Linked DNA regions of Lepisosteus oculatus. The protein of the gene in region 2 purifies or fractionates together with the protein of the main gene of each other region. This does not show direct contact. Links are inferred from orthologs where the notes say so. Each region holds a gene or a part of one and is shown on either strand. Other genes may lie near its edges.

Region 1 (6,934 bases), on a different chromosome or scaffold from region 2:
ATTCTGCAAAAGACTAGATCTATTTACAATACATTCTTGATTTCAGAACTACTCATGCATTACAAATATATATATACAGTATAACTGATGATGGACCAAACTTAATCTCAGTCCTCAAGATTACGCATCACGATCTTATTATATGATTTAGAATTTACATTTCATAAAAGGCAAACACCCAAAAATAATTACAGGCAGCAAAGAAAGACTAAAAGAAAAACAAGAAAGTTCAGTCAACTTACCCTTCAAATGCACAATCCTTCACCAGTACACTGTCTACTGTCTGGGGTTCAGACTTTTTTATTCCCAGCTTCTTCCTCACTATCTCCGCCGCATCTGCTCCTATGGCAGCCTCTATGTCATCTGGGTCAACATCATCAAACCAGATATCCTCCCTGCCAATCAAAATAGCAAATTTCTCAAGCCACCAAAATCAATGATGTAGAAACAACGTTGACATCAACAGAGAATTTTTGACTCTTTATCGTAAGAGCTGCTCACAGATAGTAGACAACTTTCAGCTAGCATCTCCTGCAAAGCAAAATTAAGCCAGCAGCCATATCACCCTGCAACTCACAACTGGCAACCCACTGAAGCTAAGCAGGTGTGAGCCTGGTCAGTACTGGGATGGGAGACCTCCCTGGGAAAAACTAAGGTTGCTGCTGGAAGAGGTGTTAGTGGGGCCAGCAGGGGGCGCTCACCCTGTGGTCCATGTGGGTCCTAATGCCCCAGTATAGTGATGGGGACACTATACTGTAAACAGGCGCCGTCCTTCGGATGAGACGTAAAACCGAGGTCCTGACTCTCTGTGGTCATTAAAAATCCCAGGGCGCTTCTCGAAAAGAGTAGGGGTGTAACCCCGGTGTCCTGGCCAAATTTCCAATTGGCCCTTACCAATCATGGCCTCCTAATAATCCCCTTCTATGAATTGGCTACATTAACTCTGCTCTCCTCCCCACTGATAGCTGATGTGTGGTGAGCGTTCTGGCGCACTATGGCTGCTGTTGCATCATCCAGGTGGATGCTGCACATTGGTGGTGGTGGAGGGGAGTCCCCATTACCTGTAAAGCGCTTTGAGTGGAGTGTCCAGAAAAGCGCTATATAAGTGTAAGCAATTATTATTATTATTATTATAAAATGGAGGCACTTGCTAGTAATAATTAGCTTGCCAACCAACCAAGGCATGGTATGACAAGACTGTCTGGCTGTACTTCATGTGGACACTAAAACATCTTTATGTTCCAAAACTTTAAACCAACTGAACCTGCTTGACATAAGATCAAGGCACTCTTATTTAAGGCCCCTGACTTACTCTCTCAGTTTGATCTCAGTGGACATCTCAATTTTTCTTTTTTTACATCCCTTTTCATTTGTCTCTTTGGGTACAAGCTCCTTTTTCCTCTTTTCTTTGTTCCTTTTCTCCTGGGGTGTTGGGACAGCATCCCCATTTAGCTTGGAGGTGGAAGGCAAGGGACAGTCTATAATTTGCTTCCCACGGTGATCCTGGGATTCCCCGCTACCTTGATCTTTAACTGCAAGCTCTTTAGGGTGCTTCTTAGGCTTCTTTGTCTCTTTCTTGGATATCTGTTGTGCTCTAGTAGATTCAGCCTCTTGATTTTCTGTCTCTTTCTTCTGATTAAGCAGCTAATTCATAGGACAAAAATGAAAAAAGGCAGAATATCACATGTACTTTTGTAAGTGAAAATATGAACAGGCTTGCATACAATTCCAGCTTGTACAAGTCAACATGCCGGAATTACGAAAAGAAAGTGTTAATTACCAGTATAAAGGTGTCTTAGATTCAGCTGAAAACATTTTCAAATGCCACATTCTGGATTGTGTACTAGAGTCACTTGGAAGGTAGTTACAACAGGCAAACAACTGAAGTCCATTCATATTCATTACTGCATTTGGTGCAATTAACTTACAACACCCTGGGATATACAGGCATAAAATACAATGTAACTAACCAAATTACTCTGCAAAAATATCAAAGTTGATTACTAAATACGTTTCTGTAACTAGTATCCTGAAATATTTCTCCTACCTCTTGCAGCGCTTTCCAGTTAGATGAAAACTGCTGAGAATCCTTGGGAGGCAGTATGAAATTCACATTAGCTCCTCCCTTCTTTTTTTTCTTTAAGTGTCCATTTTCCACCTTTCTTTTGGACTTCTTTTCCTTGAGGCGACGTTTGTTTTTCTTTTCCTCTGGTTTAGGTCCACGGGTCTTGGTCACAGCCGCCTTATCAACACCCTGTAACTTCACTCCTGACATGATTTCCGCGACTGCTGTCAGGTAGCTCCAAGTCAAAACGAAGTCTCTCACACAGGGTTATTAAGGTATTATCTGTCCAGATTTGCTTGCCGCAAATATTTAATTTACCACTGCTTCTGTTACACTTCAAAAATACAAGAGACAAAAGTAACTAGTAATGCATGTGGTATTTTAAAATGGCCAATTTAACTGAGAGACAATCACGTTGCCTTTGCATAGTAAACTACCTTAAACATTTATTGATGTTTGCAAAGATACAATTAGCAATATCAAATGTTCCAGTGTCTGTACACTGCAGCGTAAGCACATGTAACCGAAGCCAAATACTTTCGAAATGAAATCAACTATAACTTAAAATGACAGTTATCGCCTTTGCTGTATGATGAAATTTGTTTAATTTTAAAGCTGATCTGTTCAGATTACTTCAAACTACCGCATATACAGTACACGAACTTACCAACACAACATTCCTCCCCATATGAATTCCATGCTGCTTGTACTACTTCCGCTATGTCCGGCGGTAATTAGTGTTCCCTAGAAACAAAAACCTTGTGCACACCATGACGGGTCCGGTCAAACGAAAGTGCAAAAAATATAACTAATTCCGATTTCATAGAAACCTCATTTGAATAACGTGATTCTTTAGCATGTATGGAGCACAGAAATTCAGTGGTTTGTATTTAACACATGGATCTGGGAATAATTACGATTGATGTTAGTACTTAATATGGAAAACATCTAATCTAAAATATTTCTCACTTTTATAACTACTTAAAATAGTTATATTTAAATAACAAACGTACATGTATGATAGTGGAATTGTAGGATTGTAGGCTTTTAATAAATCTTTCAAATCTGCATTAATATTACATTCTAGAAGACCTGACCTTTAAATTTGACACCTAACAATTTGCTGTATTTCGTTTTGTTCCAAAGAACACACATGACTCGAACAACTGCATCAACAAGTATTTAGAAATGGAAACAACACAGAGAACGGTAGCATGACCGTATTTGTGCATGAGCTAAATAGTTTGACCAAATCTGTCAACGGATTTTCTCACTGTGTAACTTCAAGTCGATAGATGACGCTGTTCGCCCTTCCACTCGTGCAAAGACTGCTTAAGACTACAGTACGCTTCAGTTTTTAATGTATACTGTATTTAGCACGCTTTTGATCAGCGAATAGCGAAAATAGTTACAACAGTCGTTGGTATATCATTGGAATTATTTTAAAAGCGTGATTTTAAATTTATTTTGCACGGCCCATTGAATCAGACAGGCTGATAAAAAACAAGACTCAATTCAAGACTCGCGTCACCCGAAGAAGGTTCCACAGCCGAAACGTTGTGTTTTCTTTCTTCTCATGAAATAAATCTATTACTTTTTCCTTAATACAAGACTTGTGACTTGATACTTATTCAAAATGAAAACACAATTGCAGCTGTCAGTTTTTTTTAAGGGAAATGCATTTTCTCTTCTTATGTTCCTCTGCCTCTACGTGCATAAACGTTGTAGATCCTTTAGAGAAAATGAGGGCTGTACTGTATATAAATATGCATTAAGTATTTATCTTTCAAATATGACCGTTTTTTTGTTTCAAGAAGAAAAATAAAGAACAACGGGTCTCCATGGTCGGTGGTCTTAATTCTGCGGCGTGCTCTCTTCGGCTGTCTGATAAATAAGAGGTGTGAGACGCAGGCAAATCGCGCGTTCTCGACTGTGGTGCAAGCATCACTCGCGTCCACATGTGTACTCAAGACAGTGGCGTGCTTGAATACAACAACAGGAAAAGGTCATTTAACCGAAGTAAACCTTGCGTTGTAAAAGCTTCTCCGCATTCGTGAACCCAACACTAAAGTGATTAGAATAATATTTTTTTAAACCATCTGAGTCCTTCGCCCGCGCAAAAACACTCACAGGGTAGCATCAGCTTTCGATTAGCATTAGAATACCCCCCGATTTCTGCAGCACACCTCATCGCTTCAACGTTATTTTGACTTTCCCCTCTGTGCGCGTCCCCGCGCAGCTGTCATTGGACGGCGCGGGAGCCCGCATGGTGCTCTAGTCTGTGCAGCAGTTCCTGGCCATTTTGTAGAAACAGAATGAGGAGGTGAGTTAAGGAAGATATAATAGGCGGAATAAAGACCTCAAACATTATCAAACTCACTGTTGACTCAACTATTGAAAAGCCCTTGGAAACCGTGGATTATAAAGAGACGATCGTCTTGAAACCATGAGCTGGGGGACAGAGCTATGGGTAGGTATTTTTTGTCATTATTTTAGTTAAGCTGTATTGTGGAGATAACGGTTTCACGGTATTGTGCAATGGGGCTACATGATTTGTGGATGAATTTAATCTACAACTGGAAAAAGACTGAATTGAAGACAAATTAACTGCTCTTTCTGATACCATTAATGTTATACTTCTGACACGCGTTTTATTTTTGCTGTTATTGAAAGGTGGCGGATGTGTAAAGCTAACATTAGCATTAGCTAGCTAATGCGGTGGTTACAGACGAGAATCTTTTCTGCAGATTTGTGCCTTCTCAGAAGCATTACAGTGCTTTTTATACAATAGAATCTCCAATGTATACAATGTATCTCCATGGTAATACAACTAGAAATGATAAAAAAACATAAAGAAAAGCATGCCGCCTTTGCGAGATGTTGTGCAGTAACAGTGTTTGCAAGAAGTCATGGTAGGACAGAGCAGACTGTCCCACAGAGTTGGATAAGTTCATTTGCACCAGTTTACCAAATGATCTTTACAAATGGTCATCTGCAGGTACCGAGAGAGCAATCTGGATTTCCCGACGGTACAGGCATAACAGTGTATGATTAGTCTGACCATATTAAATAACCGAGACGAAGAAAAATCGAATGTGCTCGAATATAATGAACATCTTTTATTTGATCTATGCGTAGTTTAACAAAAATACACGGCATTTGTCTACATTGCGTAGTTACTAGTAATCACACACTGCAGTCGTGTGTCGTGCGTTCTGCTGCATTTGAAGTCAAAATACTGTATACACATTAACCTACAGTATAGCTAAAGCGTTTTAATTACAAAATCCCCGGGTTTTCTTCTGCTCTTAAAATCGATAAAGATTGTTGAGTCAGTTTGATATTTTTAAATAACGGAGTGGGCGTGACAGCTCCATGTCTTTCTCAGCAGGTTTGATTTGACTATGTTCAAGCTTAGATGTCAGACGTACAGTACTTTGAGTTCTCGGTTAATTAGCATTATCATTACAGTACAGTTATAAAATATTATTTATATTGTTTAAAGCATAAGAGCTTATTTTTGACAGTAGCTATCATTAAATTATTGCCGCTATATTAATAGATCCAAACTTCTGTTCTATTAAAAATGTGGTTGCTGAAACATAGATTACACAACATAGATTACATATAACTACAGTACGTACGAAAACAAAGCACGTAGACTAACATGAATACGCATCCCTTGGTAATTATGCTAAATTATTTTTTTCGAGTTTGTGCTTTTGTCCTGATTGCATTCCTTGTAGAAGGGTAGACTATACACTTAATCGCAGGTTACAAAAGATGGGACATTTTTGCACCCTTCTGTCTTTGCAAGAATTTACAAGAGGTAGGATCAAAGAGTAAACACATCGACCTTCTTGGAAAGGAACGCTGAAAATTTTCATAACGTCAAGCGCCATGCCTTAAGCAAGGACGGAAAATTGCTATGAATAGTTGGAGCTGGTATTCAGCAGTTGGTAAAGTATCAGATCTTCAACCAATGAGGTGATCTGACGAATTGACCAAACCAGTCAAATAAGAAAAATGAATGTCGTTTGGGTTAACTTGGACCTAATTCCTTTTGGATGTTAATTGCCTTACCCAATTGATCTGTTTGCTCGCTTGAAAATACAATGCCATATTTTACGTTGCATTACATATTTATGAAGCATTGATTTGTATTATCAATCCACAAAATGACATTGTTTTCTTGGGTTTTTCTTTTCATATTATAAATGCAGGCTTCTCAATTACGTAATCCACAAACTGACATTTTATAACACAAAATAAAGCTTTGCAGATGAATATGCGGTGGTTTGATTGACGTGATTGCTTTATTTAGCCTTCAATTAAGCGAATTAGGGGCAGTCTGACTAAGGATATCATTAGTAAGGCTGTGCCCTGCGGTTTGTGCTGCAATGTCTAGCGTGGTATCGGTAACAGGAAGAGCGGGAGAAGAGCACAAGTTTTTGCAAACGAGTCGTCAGGCCCGATCTGGTGAAGCTGAGGTTGTGCAGGAGGAGTAACGAAAGTGCTAAACTGATATAAATCGGGTTTGGGACATGGAAGCTGTTTTCTAAAAATGGTTGATACTAACCTTGAACCTTTGACTTCGCATCAAGTTTAAAGTGCGGTCTTATTTCCGCTTAACGACCTGTCTGTTTTTGTAATCCAGTAAAGAAATCAAGCAATAGTAGCATTTGAGGTGAATTAGAATTATAGTGTTTAAGGTCAGCATCATGCACATGTAAAGCAAAGACATCCAATTGACCGAATTACATTCTCTACATTCGATAAAATAGAAAAGAATGCTTCTATTTTCAAACAAGAGAAGGTATACCTTTATTCCGTGAAAAGCATTTTTAAGGTTCTTTGCAACGCAATTTA
Region 2 (7,711 bases):
CTCATATTAAATCAGGAATAGTATCTCTTTGACCCTTCTCCAATTACATCGCCACAATTTGAGTTTTCACTCCTTATCCATAGTCTTTGTCTTTTGATCCACACAGCAGTTCTTAATCTAAAAAATAAATAGTAAAAAAAATAAATAAAAGTATCACATCATCTTCATTGAATGTCTACAGCTGTGTAAAAAGCCTTCTGAAACTCTATAATCTATTTGTGTATCAATTATTGGTGTTGTGTCAACTCTTATAAATAAGTTAACCAAAACCTTACCTTTTCTCAATCCAAGCTGACTGTTCCCCGGAATACAATTAGTTATAATTAATTGCATGTAACAAAATGACAGATAACAGAATTATTGGTCTACAATTACTTTGTTCAACAACTTTCCTTTCAATGGGTATCACTCCTGTTTTGAGTGAACTGTTGGAAAGGTTCTGCTAATGACCTACAAATAATATCTCTTTGTACTGTTGCTTGAATCTCATCAGGAGATTTGTTTATTATTTGTGCTTCTAATGTTTCTTTATTAGCCCTACACAATTTCTTGCATTAGGAATGCGTCTTTTCGCATACCCCAGCTTTTCTCTATGGAGACACAGACACAGAGACAGGGAGAGAAGCTTGGGGTCAGAGCGCAGGGTCTGCCATTGTACGGCGCCCCTGGAGCAGTTAGGGTTAAGGGCCTTGCTCAGGGGCCCAACGGAGTAGGATTCCTCTGCCGGCCGCGGGATTTGAACCGGCAACCTTCCGGTCACAGGCGCAGATCCTTAACCATAATACCAGTGGCACACCGACTTCTTCTATGCAAATATTGTTTAATGTAGAACCTTGTCTTTCCTCAGTCTGAGGCATGTTGTTCTAGTGCTCTCTTGACATTTCTAATATCATTTTTACCTGTGCTTAAAGTTTACTAAATTCATTTTCTTTAACTAGATAGCTTTGAAAGTATTTCGTTTCTATATGTATTTTACATATCATTAATTGATATGTATCAGTTACATACATGTAATTATATCAATTTGGAGCCGTGGTAGCTCAGACGGCAAGGGCGTTTTGCTCCTGACTGGTCCTGGGTTCAATCCCAGGTAGGGGCAAGCGATGTAGCTTGCTCTAATTCCTTCCAGACAGCTCCCAGTTCCACTCCAAATGAGTACCAGGGGTTAATCCATCCGGGGGTAATAGGCCAGCCAGAGCGTGAAACTGACCACATCACCTCCACCTCCAGTGTCGGATGGTTGAGAAAAATGGTGGCCCTTGCCCCTCCTATTTCCCCATGGACCTTTATGGCCTGAAAAGGCGACCAACCCTACCTATCTAATTATATCAATTACAGTACATATATGCCTTCACAGTATTATTCACACGTACAGATAGCAGCATTATTATCACACAATGAAATCTTCATTTTTCTTGGCACAGGAGCAGATCTTGATTGTCCCTGGTTACTTGTTTTTATACTGTTTCCTGTATTTGGCAGTTATAAAACCACAGACTTTTTTATAAACAGCTGTTCATTTAGTTAACTCTCGATTAGTCAAAACGGGTACAATTTAGTGTGTGAACAAGTGCTAAAAGAAAGCAAAGGACAAAACTTGAGGGTGCTGTCATTTTAAAAAGGTGTCAGAAAATGTTGTGTTTAAACAATAGTGAATGTTCTTTGATGTTCTTTTATGCATGTTAAGGACTGGTCAAATGTAAAACCACTTAGTGTAGCTTTTCTGGTGTGTCAGAATTTATTTTAAAGTAAAGGGGCGGTGCGGTGGCTAAGGATCTGCGCCTGTGGCTGGAAGGCCACCGGTTTGAATCGCACGGCCAGCAGAGGACTCCTACTCCATTGGTCCCCTGAACAAGGCCCTTAACCACAACCGCTCCAGGGGTGCTGTATTAAATGGCTGACCCTGTGCTCAGACCCCCTGTCTGTGTCTCTCGTGGAGAGCAAGTTGGGGTATGTGAAAAGACAAATTCCTAATACAAGAAATTGTATATGGCCAATAAAAATGATCTTATCTTACCCTGATATTCACTCTCTTTGTCATTCACTCTGACCTGAAAACTGACAAGGCTGCCTGTTTGCCGATTACTCATTCAAACTGACACATTTGTCCATCTGCCTGTCTGGCACCATTCATGCATCACATTTCATTAAATAAACAAGCCATGTGGAACAGAAAGATATACAGTATAGTCCATATAGAGCTAACAAAAACAGCCTTCATCTGATAACACCTACACAGCATATACATTTCACCCATTGTACGTTATTCCTATTTGAGGATTATATGGTTAACATTGCACTCTTTTTTGGAAAACAAATCATTTAACCACAACATTCATCCTTTATCTTGTGTATTTACCATTACATCCTGTTGTTACAAAAAGTGGTTTTGTGGCAACAGCTTAAATACAAGTATTTTTTCAAAGTTAAATAATAACATACTCCCACTGGTCAGGGAATACTGACAAAGGTCATTTGACTTCTTTAATTTTTCATGAACAATCTAGTAGCAGAGAAATATGCAATAATTGCAAAGATGAGTGTTAATGACAGAACACAACACAAAAAAACTATATTTTGAACTGTAATGAGGTCTTAGAGCCCAACAAATTACATCCAACCTCTGTCATCAGATCCCTAACATTAACTACAACAATGCAGTCAGAAGTGTACCTAAATGTTTAAGAGAAAGTAGGTCTGGTTTCATAAAAGGACTAATCTTCCACAGGTTAGCCTGTCCTCTAAACTGATAATAAAATAGTGGAATTGTTTGGCCTCTAATAAGAATGCTTGCAATTAATCAACAGTAAGAATTTCATAAATTTTCATCAAGAAAAACAAAGTGCAGATTAATTAGTGCTTCTAAAAATAAATAAAAAAACTGTATCTTTCCTGAATATTTCCTTAAACTTTGACTTAGTGTCCCTTCAGTGCCCAGTGTAAGGCAGATGTTGGTTCCTTAAAGACAATGTAGTAGAACTGTGTTGTAAAGTTGTCACTGACTCTTTTCTGCTACAGTACATATCCTTCTTCTCTTTTTAAAAAAGTTATGTCATCTATTTAAGCATAGCACATTGTCACATAAGATGCTGGTCATCTTCTGGAAATTCCAGCCTCAGAAGTTGTGGTGCTGTTTGGTCTCCTCTCAGTCGTGGTCTGCTTAATTCATTAAAAATCACTGAGTTTCTGGACTGCTTATCCAGATGCTCAGATATGTTTTAACAGATACACTTTCTCTCAGCACCCACAGGGCTCTTGAATCATCCTGAGTTGTTGTGTGTTTACTTAGATAGGTACTTTATTGTCCACTACTGTGGAAATTTGCCTTTGGTTTCTCCCATAAATGTACAAAACGCACAATTAAAACATAAAAGTCACATAAAATAATATGAAGTACATTAAATCACAACAACACTATGTAATACATAAATGGATAAATGAATAGGTATTAGGGGGACTATATTTACGTACATGAGCAGTTTTATTACAGAGGGGACAAAAGACTTCTTACTGTATAGATGTTTTTATTTGAATTTGGTACCCTCTACAGTCTTCCTGATGGGAGCATTATGAATTGAGGGTGGAGAAGATGCATGGAATCTGTTTTGATGTTCCTCACCATTCTGAGACCTGTATTATTGTTAGGTGCACATTGTCTGTGTTCTCGTGTGTCCTGCAATGTGTCTTGAAGTGTGGCATTTGTTAAGAGAGCAGAGAATCCAATCTAAGCTGTAAATCCTCCTCTCATTAACAAGATGCTGTTCTCACTTGCTATTTAGGGAACTTTGATGAGTTCTCAGTCTAGGCTGTAACTGACTTCCCTAGAAATAATTCTTTAATGGCTTTACTCCAGCAAAATGGCTTTAATGAAGACTCCAGCTCTGTAAGTGAATTTACTCCTCCCTGGTTTCCAATCTTTAGTTTAAGAACCCCAGAGAGATAAAAAAAAAGTGGACAGCATAGCAACTAAGATTGTTGCTATTGGACATAATTAATTTCTTAAGACCTGGGACATTTTTACTGTGATCATCAAGTCAGGTGACCCAATCAATTAATTTACAGATTATTTGGTACAAAAACCTTTCGCCCTAAAGGACGAACCACCCATCCAGTTTTAATAACCACTTAATCCAATTTAGAATTGTAGTGAGCTAGATCCTAACCTGGCAGACAATCGCTGCAAGGCACAATATACTCTGGATGGGACACCACTCCATCATGGCACAGAATTTAAAGGTTCTGACAAACCTACAGTAGACATTTTATCCTGTAGCACAGAAGGGCAAGCAGCCTCCGCAAAGACAGCACCTCATGCCTGAACTAAGTTTAGGATCCAAGAGCTGTGAGTCAGAAAAACCTAACAGCCTCTGCTCTTCACTCTCAAGGACCAGAATTCTCACAAATGAGCACATTACCCGCTAAACTGATCAACAAAACTAAAAATATTCATAATCTTTTGAAAAACAGGTGAATTTGGGTTCTGGTTAGGACTTAACCATGAACGTTTCCAGGACTGGGGTTGAAGACTCTGGGTTTTCTGGAAGTTAAAAAGTTTTGTAGTTTTATGTAAAGTTGGAAGGGCAAAGACCACGTTTTGTACACGTGATTGATTAAATTGTGTCATTTGTTATGTTTTTGGGTATATTAGCTCACTCAAACCGGCAGTGGAGTACATCAGAATGCAGTACTGCTGGAGGTCAGAGGGTGGCGTAAACACGTGGAGAGCAAACTTAGTGGATGAGTGACATCATTTGTGTGCGACAGGTTGGAAAGATGGCAGATTCGGAGTAAGTGAAGTGTTTGCGTTATAAAATCTAAGTTAATCTTCATTAATAATGCATAGTTTCATCATTTCGTTCTGAAACATATGTTCACTGAAGTTAATCGATTATTTTAGTGTGTATATTTTTGCATTGCGACCTAAGCTTTTCTCGGTGAGGTTAAGACGGCTGTTCCCCCATACCTGATATCTAAATGTAGTTCTTTTTTTTTGTTCTCGAACATTTTTTAGAGATGTCGAATTTCCCTGAGACCAATTAATAGATATCATTAAGAGAGAAAATATCGTGCTTGTTTGTTTGAGAGACACTGCTTCTAAATTAAGTACTTCTACGTAAAAGATGGTGAAGGGTACCTGAACTCGTGCTTTATAAAGTTGAGGCGCAGTACTTTAACATTTGCAAACCTTTCTTGTTCCCCAATGTTTAATTGCAGACAGTGCTCTTTTTTAAATGAAACGTTCGGGACCGTTTGAAAAACAGACCCAAATCTTCAGGTTGTATGGACATATATAAATCCCGCTGCTTCTCTACTAATGTAGTTTGTGTGTACCTTGAGAAGGACAGCATGTTTATCAGATTGCTTTTACTCGGACCTTATCGATGTCGATGTGTTGAAATGTCCACAAGGCGGCTGAACTTTGATGCATAAATGTCAGAGAACAAGTGAAACGCATAGAGGACGATCTGGTTTTGTTTCAAACATTCTTCCTGACTTTGTCTGCAATTTGGTCCTTAGGGTGAAAAAGAAGATCAAATTTGTCCCCGAGAACCTCCTGAAGAAGAGGAAGACCTATCAGGCCATCAAAGCCAATGAGGCCAGACGTGCTCTTCTGGAGAAGAAAAAGGTAGGCTGGCATACAAATCTGTGAAAAACTGTCATGTTTACATTCATGGAAACAATAGAAATGAAAATCTTTTAACCTGCATGGGAGAAAGAGGAATATTCTGCCACAACAGAGAAGAGGAAATTCATTGCTGTTGGAAGGTTACAATACAATTCACTTCACGTCGTGGTAGGGTGACAATTTAAAACTTTAGGTGGAAACTTTCTTACCTCATTAGCCATAAGTAGTGGAAGAAAACCATGTCCTTAATAGATATTTTTAGAGAATTTTTTTTTTCAAAATGTTTTGGAATCTGTTTTTGTAATGTATTTAGGGACTAAAAAAGAGCTTCCTGTGTGTGGTCCTCTTGACAGTCATTTCTCTGCAGCGTTTAGTGCTGAATCCATGAAAAGTAATTTGTAAACTGAGAGCTTCACAGCCTTTTTCACTAAAGAAAGTGAATTTCTTAATTCAGTCCTCATCTTTTTTTAAGGAGCGGTTAGGCGAGAGTTAGTGCTGTACTTGTCTATTTTATCCCTGTTTTCTCAAAATCCTGTGTTACCCGGATAGCTACAGCGAGGCAAGACCCTGAAGTTCAAGCGTCTGGAAGAGTTCCTGTGGGACAGCCGACGGAAGCACCGTGATGAGACACGATTGAGAAGACAGGCCGCACGACCTGCTCCTGTTATCCTACCCAACCAGAAACGCCTTGCCTTCGTTGTCCGCATCAGACAGTACGTCTTGAAGGGCATCAGTGCCACGTTCTCTAACTCCATTTCTTTCCCTTCCCTTTTTGCCTTTGGTGCAAGAAATAGTGCTAACATTAAATCCTAAAGACGTCCATTTTTTAAGAGATGTCTAATGTATTAAGAAATAAAAAAAATCACTCACCTGCATCTTACCAAGTTCTATAACAGCAAATTTTCCAATTTCCTTTATTTTAGTTGTGAAGTAAAATTAAAATCAAAACAGCCTTGCTTGCCATACACTGATATCTAGTGAATGAATGGTCATTTTTTAAAACAGACCTTTGAAGCTAACCACAAATCTTCTTTATTAGTTCTATCTTCCTGTGATAAGTAATGTCTGGTCAGAAGAATTGCTTTAAGTTTATCTCATCTGTGTGCAGGATTAGGGGTGTCAGCCTTAAGGTCATGAAGGTAATCCAAATGTTGCGGCTCAGGAAGATCTTCAGCGGCTCTTTTGTTAAAATCAACAAGACCTCCCTAACTATGCTGAAGGCTGTGGAGCCGTACGTAGCCTGGGGGTGAGTGAGAATATCCGTGGACTGTTTACGTTTCACTATTAAGGTTTTGTTAAGTCCTCTGGAGTTTTTAATGCCGGGTGAAATAGCTCAATAAGGAAACTGCAACACTATTTTCATATCTTGGAATTAGAAAGAATCAGCATTGATGAGTGCATTTCAAATTGCGATAAAAGTAAAATGTACACCATAACATTTACATCACAAAATAAATGAAATTTCCAGGTATGCGCAGCACCATATTCTGCGATTCAGAATGAGGTAACAAAACCTCCTGGGGCGTCTTCCAGCCCTACTGCATTGTAAAGAAGCAGACTTGTGAATGCATCTCTTTTAATCCAATAGAAATATTGCTCTCAATTTCAACACGGTTTGTGCTGACAAATGCCGCTTGTTAACTCTGCATGCAGATCACGTTGGAACGTTCCTGCTGTGAAATGTCTGCTGTACAACCTGTGCTTATTCGCTCGTACATCACATTACATCATTACAGTGAATACTGAGCAGGAAGGGTTGCTTCACCTGGCAATCCGTGAGAACTGTCGCTCTTACCCTTAAACCAAGGGTTTGCGACAAGCATGGCAACTTTAAATACTCTCATGAACTTCATGATGTTGTGCTTGATTTTAAATTTGTTGAATTTTTCTATAATGTCAATGAATTTATCTTGTTACCGAGATTTAATAACTGGTCTGAGATGTTCGGAGTGCATTTCCTCTCATGTGCCTCTGGTTCTTCCCAGCAGGGGGCACCCTAACACTTTATTTGGTTAGATTTGCTACGATATGGACTGCTCAAGCAGGCAGTTCCCAGAGCATTTCCCAGTCTTGGAAAGCTCATCT
Region 3 (7,618 bases), on a different chromosome or scaffold from region 2:
GGGTGTCGTCGACGTCCCGGATGGCGTCTATGAAAGTGGGGTACCTGGAGAGCGGTGTACAGGCAGTCAGCACTGGACGTGAGTGGGATTAGCTCAGCTTTTGTCTAAAACTCACTACCAAACACTGAAATCAGGTGTAGGTTCACTAACCTGCCTATGCTTCAAAACTTCCACCATGCAGTGGCTTAAGCTCATGCTAAAAATGGCTTTTTCAGTCAGATCAGAAGATAGAGAACACCATCCTAGAAGTCAATTCATTGCCTGTTTATTCAGTGGGTCTACTAATGACATATTAAAAACTGTCTCAAACCTCTTAATTTAGCCAGTGGGAGAGATATAGCTCTTTGAAATAAAAAAGGGAGGGACTCATATTCTCTGGAAAATGATTAACTTGCAAGTCTTAATGCAGCACAGGCTGTAATATTTGTTTTAAAAGCATTTTTCAATTGCTAAGCACTGATGTCTTTGGCGTGATCAAGCAGGTTAAATTAAACAAACAACCTCTCGAGAATGGAAGGCCAGTACTTGATTACAATATTTTGTCAAAACCGCACACATATCGGTTTAGACCATATAAATAAAACAGCAAATGAAAAGTTCTATATAAATGTAAGCAATTATTAATATAACATACAACATAGCAGTGGTATGGCCATCTTTTAAGCATCCTGGCCCTAAGTAGTCACGTGTACATTTTCAAATATATATGTTGATGTACAAAACACAGGATTTGCAGGTCAAAGGTTTTTTTATTGTTACTGTTGTCCCGATATCAAGCTGGTATAGCAGATGATCTCCCTCTGGTGTTTCATGCTGATCTCACAGCTCACCTCTCCTTGACGATGTGATCCAGTTTGTAGCTGGGCTTGTTCTCCTTCAGTCTTTGGACTCCAGTCCATTCTGCTTTAGCGTATGCCTTGCGCAACTTTCTCACAAAAACCTGAGCGAACACAGAGAGAGCACAGCGACGTCACCGACAACATTTTAATTGAGACTTAATGGAATTCAGAAGGAAAATTTGGGAGGGTGACAACAACCAAGTTCAACTGGACATTATCCCTTTCTCTCCCTCATATACATCTTTTTGCATCACACCTCCACCTGTGCAGCTACTCCTTAGTCAATCCTCACTCTGCATGGGGGTCCCAGCCAGCTCATCTTGTGACTAGGAGGTTGGTCCTCAGCCACATGGGTTAAGTCAAACTTTGACTAAAACACATCATAATCCTCAAATACACTGAATTCTTGGTTGTTGCTATTCCTAGGGAATCTGTTCATAGTCCATTTTGCTTTTCTTTTTGAAGACATGAGCCTGGTGCAAAACCACAGGAGACTTCCAGAGCACATACAGCACACCCCACAGATTCCTAGGTAAGATGACGGAAATGGAAAGATTAGTGGGGTTGGAGGTACCTTGTACTCCCTGAACTTTCTGACGATGGGCTCGTGCAGAAGGAAGCGGATGTCTTTGAGCAGGTAGAAGGTGCGTGGAGCTGTAGAGCCCTTGTTGACCTTCTTCTTGTGTTTGGGCTCATGGGGGTATATTCCCTTGAGAATGCAGAGGCGCCTGGAGAGAGGGAGCAGGGGGTTATTCAGGGAACAGGGGTCTGTGGGGACATCAGCACCTTAACCTCTATTGAAGAGCAGTCGGACATGAACAGCAACCCACATCAGAGCCTGACAAATCCCTGCTTCGTCAACTACTCCCTTCCACTCTGTTTTTGCTTTATTCAACTAAATGGGCCTACGGGACAAGACTCCACTGCTGACTTTTATCATAACTAACTCATATCTGTTGATATCATCAATACAACCAAGTACGACAACTTAGTCAAAGCCTGAAGAGTGAAGAAGCTGCATACTTTGTTGAGCCAGTGTTCACTCACTAACTTAAACACAATCTGACCCTTTTAAAAACGGTCTTTCATGCTTGCTCTTTTGTCGTTAAAAACTAGTCAATTAACATTAAGAAGCAATCAAAATGAAATTCAGGCAAAGTAAATACAACATTCCTACCTGAAGTCAGCCAGGCTCAGCTGCAGTTTCTTCCGTGCTTTGTTCCTGGTGATATAATTACTGGCGGATCCCCTCTCATACTGCAATGAAAGAAAAAAGATCATGAACTTAATAAAAACAAAAATGATCAAAGTCAGGGAAAGCGTTTATTTTACACGCAAGCTAAAACTCGTGCGACTCGAGACAAGGTTGATGTTTAAGTTTAATAAACATTTACTGATAGAAATGTGCATTTCAAGTAGTATAAAAATAACTTTAAACAACCGAATAATTAGTAATAGTAACATCGGGGGTTTTAAAGGATCTAAATGTCTGTCACTGAAGTTAAGGATTTTATTTCCACTATGAACTATATAGTCATGTTAAATGGACAAGAACTCTCCAGGGGTTTTACATTTCGAACAAAGTCAGTATGCAATATCACCAGAAACTTGGATATGTTTTCAAGTAACCAGAAAAAACGTTTTCATCTCCACTTCTCTTTAATTATTGAGACGGTCATTGTGTTTTATTTACTCCATAAAGTATCCACTGTATTAAACTTAAATTGATGCAAATCTAATTAATGTTGTATTCGACATGTCATGGAACTTCACGTACTGTAACATCATAAGATGTACCAGCAAAGGAGCCTTATGTATCTGAGCATACGAATCTCAATGAAGACCCTTTAAGAGATCTTATCCAGACCATTAATACATCCGAACTGCATCACCAGTGACACTAGCTTTCATTTAGCGACTTTATATCACAGTAAAATACCGCAAAATATAACATCGAGACATTACAAACGTCCTTATACGTTCTCCACAGCGACAATTCAGAAATCAGTTCATGCTGTCTGATATGATGGTAAAACCGTATTATGCACATGTTTAATAACGGAGTCCAAAAGTGCCTTCAGATAATAAAACACAGAAACATACCTTCTTCTTTTGAAGACCTCCCATTTCTACGATTTATCAGGAAAACAAACTTAATTGAACGAATAACTTTCACCACCGACAACAACCCTACATACACTCAGACACGTGTCGGATGTGCTGCACTGTAAGGACCCGTATCGTAAGGAACTGTCCTGTGTGTTGCCTGTTCACAATTCACACATCGATGGTATATCTCGCAGTTTTATGGTTTAATATAACTCTTTGAAACGTATATAATATATTTATTTAATAAAAATTAGTGTCTAAAATGTCAGTATTTCCTATCTTCACTATCTAAAAATAACATTAAAAAAGGATACGAATCGGGCGACCTACGCGTGTATGTTTTCTGGTTGGATGCTTGAAACTAGATTTTGTACGTCAGGTTGTCTGTCATAGAGGCACACAGGCATGTGAATGCTTATGAAAATATTCCTAGCTCATTAAAATTAATGTCTTATTATATACCATCGAGATTTACGTACAAAGGTTGAAAGTAAGCAAGTAGACAGGCCATTTCTGTTTCTGACGTCCACTTTGTGCTGTGTCTAGTTGTATTCACCTCAGAATTCCCGATTATGTTGGGTACTTGTCTTGTGAGACTGGTACTGTTTTACTAAATGTGTAATGTTTTTATATCCCTATTTCATAAATTGTAAGCTCTCTCTCTCTCTGGGCTTAGTTAAACATTGTGATCCACATTAATGATAGCGACGGAGTCAATTTCCCACTTGATACCATGACCATGCATTAGGAAGTGGTTACAAGCAGCTGCTACAGGGTGGAAGAGCTTTTGAGTATCAACCCTTAATGTAGTGGTTTTTAAAAGCCCTTCGTCGAAAAACGGGTTATCAGATGTTTGCTTGAACACAAGCATATTTCTTTTGTGCTACGATTTCTCTTTAGAAAAAAGACACAACTCAAGCAAAAATGGGCGATTTTTCCACTCCACAAAAGGAGATCACATCACATAGAAATCTCAACATTTTGATCCATCTGTGCATTATAAATAGCTAGTAGGAGTAAGGAATGGGTGGTGGTGGCCTGAGAGTATTCATCAAGGAATCATCTAGACCAGGACTGGAACAAGGAATCCCAATGGATTAGAAAACAGCTAACGTGATGTCATCAGAGTATGAAACACAAAAGGGGGAGGATGGCCAACATGCAAATTTAGACTGGGCACTAGGACAAGACAGGCAAAGAGATAAAGAAGAAGAGGAGATCCAGAGGTGGAGACAGAGAGTAAAATTTGCAAAGCCCAAAGGAGGAGTAAGACAGATTTAGAGCATCAGTGCGCCACACTACACCTCTGCTTCCAGAACCAGATCCCAGAGAGGAAATCTGTATACAATGGGATTAAAGGAGCTCATTAAGGACTTTTATGTTGGATTCTGGGATTATGAGACTCCGAAGATAATGGTGGTGAAAAACCAAACTCTCGGAATCATTTACAGAATTGTGCAGTTCCTGGTAATCACCTACTTCATATGGTAAGTTTAATTTGGTTCTAAAGCCTGACATCCATAAAAAGAATAATAAGTGCTTTGGCAATTGGGTGATACTGAAGTTGTTTTATGACTGACACAGTAATACAATAGTATAGAGCATTGCAGCCTGGTATAAAGACTCAAAATAAAGCAGATGTTCATATCCTTAATGTGGTTTCTAAATAACTTGGACTTCTAATGAACTCTAATGGACACTTTTTCCTTTTTGCACTCCCACAAAATGCATGAAAATGTGTGTTGGTTCCTTCTAAAATGTTATTGTAGTGCAATTTGCTATAGGCAGAGAAAGGCAAAGAGGCAGAGGTGTATCAAGGTTCAGTGAAATCATGACAAAAGCATCATAAGGCTTAAATTTTGTCACACATACTATGGTACTGTACAAATCATGGAAATCCATTCCAAAGCAATGTGGAAGCATGTTTATGGTATAGTAAAAGCATTGAAAAACTGTAAAATAAATAAAGTAAATACAGTAAATTTCCATAAGCTTTGAAATGGTTGGCAGTCATCCAAAATAAGATTCAGAAGAAAGCTTTATAAAACCATAACACACATCAGATATTTACGTATTTTTGGGTTTCAAAACACTTACTGTATAATTGTATAATTAAACAAGATATTTTAAAGGATGCCTGAATGTAACCTCATCTATAATTAATACCGATGCTGACAAAAACTTTGCTAGCCACTAATCGATTTATAACTGCAAACTCTTGGTGACTGTTACAGATCAATACATTGTAAATGAAACTACTGTCCCCGTTTCACATTTGTTTTTATAATGGTTTCCAGCAGGTCAGTAAACTGTAGGTCAGGATAAAATGCTACAGCGTTCAACATAAATCAGGAGGTACAAATAGTCTGAAAATAATGCTGTTGTTGTTGTTGTTGTTGTTGTTGTTGTTGTTGTTGTTGTTGTTGTTGTTGTTGTTGTTGTTGTTGTTGTTGTTGTTTATACTTACAATATAGAGCTCAGCATGAAATGAAATAAATATATATGGTTTGCCAACTATGTCATAGATCATAGTAACTTTCTGGGATTTCAGAGGAAATGCATTTTCAACTAATTAACATTTTATCAACATTATTTAAAAAGTATAGCTATCTGGTAATCATCCCCATTGTTCTGCATATTTAGAAGTGATATTAACATATTTGTTAATGTTCTCTCATAGTAGCCCTAATTAGGGTAATGACATGGAGGGGATGCATATGCAAGCTGCCAGAGCATGTTCTAAATTACCTAAAAGCTCTTGAACACAATCATTTTGCAAAATCCCGGGAACATTAGAAGGAAGTCATCAGAAAACGATCTTGTGCGGATAACTTTTAACACATGTGTGTCAATAAGCAGTGGCTGATCTTTCCTTTTTAACATCTTCATTTCTTTAGAAGTGTTGCCCAGAGTATCAAGATACTAATATAGCATTCACCCTAAATAAGCTATTGCTGTTTTTGTGCATCCCTAGTGGAGGAGAAATATTAACCATTAACCATCACAGATGTATGGGTTATGTTGGTGGCACAGCGGTCCAGTGGTAAGCATTACTGCCTTGCAGTGTTGGAGCCTTAGGATTGGTTCTGGACCAGGGGTGCAGTCTGTCTGGAATTCGCATACTCTCCCCAGGTCTGTAGGGAGGTGTTTCACTTGCCTCCCGCAGTTCAAAGACATACTGGTAGGTTAAGTGGCCTCTGGGAAAAGCTGGTCCTGTTGTGAGTGTGTCCGTGTCTGTGTCTTCTGTGTGTCCTGCGATGGACTGCGTCCTGTCCGGGGTGTATCCCACCTTGTGCCCATTGCTTGCCAGAGTAGGCTCTGGCTCTCCTGCGATCCAGAGTCGGATGAGGTGGTTATAAAATGGAAGGATGGGTGTTAGTATTCTTGATAGTGATGGTAAATAGGCATCTATTTACTGATGATTACATTCTGAACCTTCTAGTATTGTTGGCATTTATCCCTGGACAGGTTTCCTATCTTTTGCTTTCAACACAGAGAAATTTAATAGAGTTTTGGATCAAATGTGGTATATTTCTGTGTATCAGTGTTATTTTGTCCTCCTTGACATCATGCAATCCAAAGAGCCCCACAAGACCGACAGTATGAAGGGTGCTGCTGTGGATTCTGCACACTGCTCAAAGGGGCACATCCAGAACACCTCTTTGGCTTCCCTGACAGGTATGTGTTCATCAGTCAGAAGGCCTACCAAGAGAGTGAGACGCGCCCAGAGAGCTCCATCTACACCAAGATGAAGGGGGTCGCCCTGGTGGGGGACACTGTGCAGGATGTGGTGGAGTACGTCAGGCCGTCGGAGGTAAGACCTGTCGCCAGCGCTCCTACACGGCCACCGACAGAATGAGGGCGAGGAGCACTGCGGCTTATCCCTCAGACTGTCGCCCGGAGACGCTGACTTCTATGTCTTTCAGTTGCTGATGCATCACAGAGCAAGAGAAGAAAAAAAACCCACATAAACGTGTGATATCCTAAGTTGCACCATCCATATGTGCAGCTGAAGAGTTAATGAGTTCATTTATATTACATATAAAAATATAGATGGATATCTTTTCTTATCTTTCAAGCCTGTTACTAGAGAATTTTCTTTTTAGATAGTTTGGGTTTAACCTGATCCCTTTTTCAAGTGTACCGTACGTATAACTCAGTTCAGTTTATTTGTCATACCCACAAGTGCAATGAAATGCTTACCACTGGGCTGCTTTATGGTGATTCATTATGTTTTGGGCTCAACCCAGACAACTTGAAAGACGATTCTTTCCTATCCAGGGGGGCTGTTTACTGAGAGAAATTCCCAATTCCTCCACCCTACACTGCAGGCTGGCCCTGAGCTGTCTCCTTTGGGACACACAGACATATCCTCCAGTGGGAAATCCCAGGCCAGGGGAAATAATGGACCGCTTTTCCTTGTTTCCTACTCAGGGCGGTGATGTCATCAGCTCTATCCTACGGAGAGAGATCACGATTGAGCAGAGGCAGGGTGTGTGTGCAGAGGTAAGGCCAGACTGCAGCCTTCAAGGCTCTCCTGTTAAGAGGGTCATCCCAGACCTAGAAGCACGACAGCAACAAACTCCTTAATGATTAAATCACACAATGTGACAAGAATATTGACAAAATTCAGTGGAATAATGAAGCAGCACATTCTGACCACATCCTGA

The links.
Region 1: the proteins of rpl7l1 (region 2) and rexo4 purify together in Homo sapiens (affinity purification with mass spectrometry; 3 studies listed by BioGRID and IntAct, with this or other methods). This does not show direct contact. The link is inferred for Lepisosteus oculatus from reciprocal best matches to the Homo sapiens genes RPL7L1 and REXO4.
Region 3: the proteins of rpl7l1 (region 2) and pes purify together in Homo sapiens (affinity purification with mass spectrometry; 4 studies listed by BioGRID and IntAct, counting the BioPlex papers as one, with this or other methods). This does not show direct contact. The link is inferred for Lepisosteus oculatus from reciprocal best matches to the Homo sapiens genes RPL7L1 and PES1.

Annotation. Positions count from the first base shown.
Region 1 is NC_090719.1:5,369,439-5,376,372, forward strand, and holds the start of rexo4 (RNA exonuclease 4), read right to left. Parts: upstream 3,011-6,934; 5' UTR 2,733-3,010; intron 2,400-2,732; 5' UTR 2,276-2,399; coding exon 2,048-2,275; intron 1,645-2,047; coding exon 1,313-1,644; intron 396-1,312; coding exon 243-395; intron 1-242.
Region 2 is NC_090697.1:58,535,525-58,543,235, forward strand, and holds the start of rpl7l1 (60S ribosomal protein L7-like 1), read left to right. Parts: upstream 1-4,679; 5' UTR 4,680-4,737; coding exon 4,738-4,787; intron 4,788-5,517; coding exon 5,518-5,626; intron 5,627-6,175; coding exon 6,176-6,339; intron 6,340-6,734; coding exon 6,735-6,872; intron 6,873-7,711.
Region 3 is NC_090717.1:5,546,923-5,554,540, forward strand, and holds the start of pes (pescadillo), read right to left. Parts: upstream 3,073-7,618; 5' UTR 2,967-3,072; coding exon 2,943-2,966; intron 2,097-2,942; coding exon 2,017-2,096; intron 1,568-2,016; coding exon 1,414-1,567; intron 941-1,413; coding exon 831-940; intron 45-830; coding exon 1-44. Other genes in the region: p2rx2 (P2X purinoceptor 2), read left to right, coding at 4,296-4,435, 6,627-6,762, 7,383-7,454. UniProt on the Homo sapiens protein: Component of the PeBoW complex, which is required for maturation of 28S and 5.8S ribosomal RNAs and formation of the 60S ribosome.